Callithrix jacchus: one gene and its partner. The protein of the gene in region 1 interacts with the protein of each later gene in a pairwise test. Links are inferred from orthologs where the notes say so. Each region holds a gene or a part of one and is shown on either strand. Other genes may lie near its edges. The genes, in order: AKAP7 and SPA17.

Evidence for each region.
Region 2: the proteins of AKAP7 (region 1) and SPA17 interact in a two-hybrid assay, tested with the Homo sapiens proteins (3 studies listed by BioGRID and IntAct). The two-hybrid records come from large-scale screens. The link is inferred for Callithrix jacchus from reciprocal best matches to the Homo sapiens genes AKAP7 and SPA17.

The regions. Positions count from the first base shown.
Region 1 is NC_133505.1:137,944,603-137,948,071, reverse strand, and holds the end of AKAP7 (A-kinase anchoring protein 7), read right to left. Parts: intron 2,568-3,469; coding exon of another isoform or gene 2,371-2,567; exon of another isoform or gene 1,714-2,370; coding exon 1,508-1,713; 3' UTR 564-1,507; downstream 1-563. UniProt on the Homo sapiens protein: Probably targets cAMP-dependent protein kinase (PKA) to the cellular membrane or cytoskeletal structures.
Region 2 is NC_133511.1:24,277,305-24,280,044, reverse strand, and holds part of SPA17 (sperm surface protein Sp17), read right to left. Parts: intron 2,253-2,740; coding exon 2,166-2,252; intron 1,855-2,165; coding exon 1,768-1,854; intron 1,445-1,767; coding exon 1,358-1,444; intron 1-1,357. UniProt on the Homo sapiens protein: Sperm surface zona pellucida binding protein. Helps to bind spermatozoa to the zona pellucida with high affinity. Might function in binding zona pellucida and carbohydrates.

The DNA of each region.
Region 1 (3,469 bases):
TGAGGATAACACCGGGGCATTGGCACAGAGTCCTGGGTGACAGTTCAGGTCCAGTTCTCCAGCAGCAGTGAGGCCTTGGATAAGGTGTGCCACCTCTTGGAGTCTGTTCCCTTCTTTGAAACACAAGGCAAGGCCAAAACTATCTTTGCTTTCCACCTTAAGGATTTACTTAAAGAACCCATCTACAAACAGTCAAGCCCTCTACCACTGAAAGGGGTTTCACAGCAAACAGCTGCAGGATTCTGCACCTGGATGGATCTCCACTTTTCATCTTTGCTAGGATGTCACATCACTGGCACATTCTTAGCTGTTTAATTCTCGGTGAAGCTGAGAATTTAGATTTTCTTTGAATTTAAGGTTCTGCTGTTAATTCTCGGTGAAGCTGACTGATTTGATACGATTTTAAAGCATGAAGTTGATGGTGCTTTGACCACTGTGCGACCTCAGCATGAAGGACAGGAACAGAAAGGTGAAGCAACACCGAAGCTGTCAGAGCTCCTGTTGATAACTTCCTTATGCCAACATAGATCCAGCTACTCCCAACAGTGAAGAGATGAGAAAAGGCAAGGGAAAACAGTATGTTTATTAAGAGCCAGGAAAATGCATAAACTCATTTGTAAATAAATGTAGTATAATTTACTCAGTGAAAAAATAGCTAAAATCCATGAGTAAATTGGATTTTATATTTGAAATGATTTTACACATTTGATCTCCAGTGATTTCCCTCTATCATGATCTATTGGTAGCAGCCATTTTACAATGACTATAGAAAAAGCTGTTACCAACAATCACCATAGCAGGGAAAGGTTTTCCAGAATGCTCTTTAAAACCGAACCAGTGCAAACACATTCAGATTACAAGGGATCTGATAAGTCCTGGAGCTTATCTTCGAAAATGTAAAAAATAAAAATCCCAAACATGAATTCCTTAAGAAATGAAAAAGCAAACTACATTTTGATCAGTGAAAAATATTATAAGGATATATAAAACATTCTTAACCAGTGATCGCAATAATTACATTTATAAATGTTCGTTCAAGTACTATTGTTCAATAAACATTCAAATTCTCATTAAAAGTAACACTAGATATAGACACACCTGGACAATGCTTCTTTTGATTTAGCAACAATCATGTCAACAGGAGGCAAGTGACCCTTCAAATACTGTTGTTGGCTCTGTTTTGTTCTATTTGTCTGTGAATGGTTTCTTCACAGTCTGTATTTTCTTCTGCAAGGACCCAAGAAATATCTCACAACGGCTAATTAAGAAATCATTTTTATAAAATAACTCTCAATATCACAGAAACAGACATTCTAAAACACAAGTTTAGCTCAAAAAATAACAGGGCAGAATGAGTTTTCTTTGGCAAGAAATTGCTAATTCCTTACCAAATGTTGGTTTGCTGTTGTGCAGACACTATCAGAAACTTCTTTGGTGTATACCAAAGAGCTACTTGGTAAGCTGGAAAGATTTCAGGGGCTATGTTGCCACAATTGCAATGTAGAGCTTATGTCAAAGTTGTGCCAAAAATAACATCATTTGCTGGATTACTGTTATTAATAAGTCTTCCTTCAAAAAGCTCCCTCCTAATTTTGGCCTGAATCTCAGGCTTTAATAAAAGTTCCTTTATCTGTTTCACTTTGGACTTCAGACCCATCATTTCTCGATGCAAAGCTTCATTAATTAATTCTTGAATTCCAATAGGTTTCTTGCCTAAGAAAAAAAATTATATAATACATTTCATTAAATATGGCATACTGACTTATCAAAATAGGATTTTAAAAAAACTTTAAAATGTTGCCCACATTTTATAGAAAAGGTTGCATTTCACCAAAATATATCATTTACATGAAACATAATTTACTATAAATAAAGATCACTGCATAGCAACAGCACACTTAGGACAGACATGAAACATTATGGACTAATTGTACAGATGACAATTTCAACAGTGATTATTTTAAACTTAGCACTTGATAGCTGTGTGTGAGAGTTCTGGCCTCAGATAAAGTAGTCAAATGCCCTGCTAAGCAATATAAATGGCAGTATTCCATTGATGGCAAGGCCTCTTTCGCGGCCTGTAATTTGTGTCCAGGAGGCATAACCCAAAGTTCTCTCTCCCTTGTGCATGGCTGAGGGCGAGTGAAACTTGGGCCATTCTTCTTTCATAAATTAATTTCCTTTGCCAGTCCCAGCACTCCATTTTTCTTGTTGTGTTTCAGAAACGCCATCACATCGATCATGAAAGTATTAGGCAATCTCCACAGACTGAACCAGAGAAACTTAAACAGCACGCTGCAAGTCAGTCCCTAGACTCAGCAGAGGGGAGCAGGGATGCTTTACACAGACTTGAGGACCTGTGTTCAGGCCTCATTTCCTGTTGTTCTCATTGTCATTGCCATTCCGATCAGCTGCTTCAGTTTTCACAGAGCTCCCCTCCCCCGGCTTGTTTTTATTCTGTGTCTCCTCCAGATACTGCTGGACAGCCTTGAGCACCGCGTTCTCCACCAGCCTCTTACTGAGCCTTACCAGTTCAGCATCATCAGGCTCCCCTCCGTTCTTTTCACCTACATTCCACAATAGAGAAGAGAGGTCACTGAGATCACATTGCCATAGAAACTTGGCATGCAGGGGCCGGCTAGTTCCATTAGTTAAAAAGAGCAAGTGTAAATTGGATCTATAAATTCAAGAACAGTGGGTTGGCTTTTCATTTGGTATTTGCGGAAGTAGGAGCCTGTCTATTCCTGACGCCTTCAGATTGAAAAGTAGTTCATTAGTCCCAATCTAGACAAGCTCTACCTAGCAGCGCTGGCTGTTTCCCATTTATATGTGAATTTCGGTTCTTGTCTCATCCAAGGCTAATTACTACTACTAATGTCCACGTCCCCACCACGTGGAGCCTCAGACATGTGAATTCACTAAGTATATCTATGACCTCTTCTGATTCTCCAATATCAAATATCAGATCGAGATTTCCCTACGATCTCATTACTTAAGATCACTAATTTAAAAATGCGTGGCCTATAGCTTGGTTGTTAATCAATGCTCAGCAATGCCATGAAGAGAAAGGCAGTTACTACCATTAGGAACTGGTTTAAAATAAGCTTATAAGGCTAGTATTTTTTTGATGTCAGTGCTATCACTGCTATTGAAGAAATAGGAAATTCTTCAAAGAAAAATTATGATTATGATGGTAAATTACTAGATGTAAATGTTTTGTGGTTATTTTACTTTGCTGATCATGATGATCCAAGTCTAATTATTTCATCTTTCATTTTACTCTCAAAGAGCTGATACCCAACTATTCTCATGCTATACATTTCCAAGTCACTCTCTTCCTTGCCCCCCTTAACTGGGGAAAGGAACTAAGAGGCTCCTTCCCCATGTCCATTCAGTGCTCAATCTCCTCCCATCGAGCTGGGAACCCAGGAAAGAACAAGGCTGGAGGCCAAGAAGTCAGAGGACATTT
Region 2 (2,740 bases), on another chromosome or scaffold:
TCTCTATATGCAAATATATTCATATGGGTATATATATATGCCTTTTTATTTTAAAAATGAGATCATGCTAATCACAGAGTTCTGCAGCTACTTTTTCCATGTAACAATATATCTTGGTTCTCTTTTTCTGTGTTATTAGTCAGTGTATAACTCTGCCCATTCTTCTTTTTTATGACATCATTGTATTATATTATACTGATGTACTTTTATTTAATATTTACTCAATCTCATATTAATGGGCCTTTGGGTTGCTCAAGCTCCCAGCCCCCCATTATAAATAGTAAGACAAATCTAGCTCAAACTTTTAAATGCAAACAGAATGGTACTAAATTCTTTGAGATGACATCCTAATACAGGCAAATGAAAACAGTCCAGTTGGAAATCAATGAGATCCCTATTCAAACTCATGAAAACCTGTGTAAGAGCAGCTATGAAAGATGTAAGGAAATAAAACTCCCTTCTTCCTTGACGTCCTGTTACATCTTAGTGTTAGGCTTATTGGGTTGTATTGATATAATTCTGGAATAACCTGTACATCTTATAGGGAAAAGTCACACATTACTAGGTAGGAGGTAGGGTATTCCTTGAGGAGATATCCATTCTGGGTGCCAGTTACTGGGCAACTACCTGGGACCTGAGACATAAAAAAGAACTCAGAAGTTTGAACTTCGACATTGTAGAGTGAGTTCTTCTTTCTTATGAGGCCTAGTCCACAAGAGTCTGGACTATGAAGAATATAAACAATCATGTACTGGTAAGTGTTTTAACAACTGGCTCTCCAGAAAAAAACAAAGCCCAGATTTGCAGTGTTTGCCATGGTCTTAAAATTCTCATTGTGGATGATTCAAGTTATTAAAGTGACATTACTGAACATGAGCCTGGGTAGAAATGTGCACAATTGTCTCTTGAGAGCTGGCTCTAGCACACCACTGAATATAGGTATCTTTGAGGGTGGACCTCTCTATGTCTTGACTGCTTGGATGTAGTACATCAGGCACAGAGGCATTTTTGTAGGGGGTTATGCGTCGAAGATGAATAAGCCATATTGCTGTGAAGCCATTATTTTGGCTTTATGTAATTCCCTGTGATTTTTCTTTTGTTATCTCTGAATGTTTGCTATTGTGTAGTGGTGACAGCATCAGTTAGTGAAAAATTCCCAAAGTGGAAGATGAATCTGAAGGATCACAACTGGGGCTGTGAGTTCTGTCTGCCCTTCCCCAGAGGGAGATTTTCCATCCATTAACACTCTTGAAAAATAAGATTTTATTTTTAAGGGAAAAATGAGTTTTTGATCATAAGAGGCATGGCTGAAAATGATCTACCAGTTATTTTATCTGTACATTAAAATATTACATACTAAGATGGTGACTGGTGTTTCTTCCTCCTTCCCAGATATCTGAGACTTTTCTTGTTTAGGATCACATTTCTCAGGTGGTTCTTGCTTCTGGACAGATAGGAGAGAGCGAAATTAGCCATGTTTCCAAACTAGCAAAGTCTTGTTTAGAAGTAATTAAAAATTACTTTAAATTACTGAGAAATAGAGGGAATTAAATACTACATATTTAGTATTTAATTTAATCAAGATATTATCTTGATGTTAATCTTTATCTGGAATTTATCTTGATGTTAATTATCTGGAAGGTAAAAATCATAATTTTGACAATAAAGATAACAGACATTCACTGGAGTTCAATTTTAAATTCGGCAATATCATTCTTTGTACATGAAAATATCATTCTTCAATAGTACATTAAAAATATTACATACTAAGATGGTGACTGGTGTTTCTTCCTCCGTCCCAGATATCTGAGACTTTTCTTGTTTAGGATCACATTTCTCAGGTGGTTCTTGCTTCTGGACAGATAGGAGAGAGCGAAATTAGCAATGTTTCCAAACTAGCAAAGTCTTGTATAAAACTGTTTAGAAGTAATTAAAAATTACTTTAAATTACTGAGAAATAGAGGGAATTAAATACTACATATTTAGTATTTAATTTAATCAAGATATTATCTTGATGTTAATCTTTATCTGGAATTTATCTTGATGTTAATTATCTGGAAGGTAAAAATCATAATTTTGACGATAAAGATAACAGACATTCATTGGAGTTCAATTTTAAATTTGGCAATATCATTCTTCAATAGTACATTAAAAATATTACATACTAAGATGGTGACTGGTGTTTCTTCCTCCTTCGCAGATATCTGAGACTTTTCTTGCTTAGGATCACATTTCTCAGGTGGTTCTTGCTTCTGGACAGATAGGAGAGAGCGAAATTAGCAATGTTTCCAAACTAGCAAAGTCTTGTATAAAACTGTTTAGAAGTAATTAAAATTACTTTAAATTACTGAGAATTAGAGGGAATTAAATACTACATATTTATCTTTAATAAGGAAAATACATTAAAACAAGAATAAATAATTAAAGCTCTTAAGGGAATATGTGTAAACAAATATTAAAGACCAAATAATTGGCAAAACATTTGATCTGTTGCTTTTGGAATGTGTGTACCACTGTTTTATGTTCAAAGTAAACCACTGTCCTATACTAAAAGTTGATAAGATGCTATAATGAATCCTGAACAAAGTATAAAAGAGAGATTCCAATAGTTTCTAAAATAGGAATAAAATAAATGGCATTGTCTTCTATAGTGTGGCGTCAAGTTGAATTTTGAGTGAGGTTTATGAATTAAAACTAGTAAAAGAAGCAAGTTTTGCTGTGGCGTTTTGCTTTATGATTT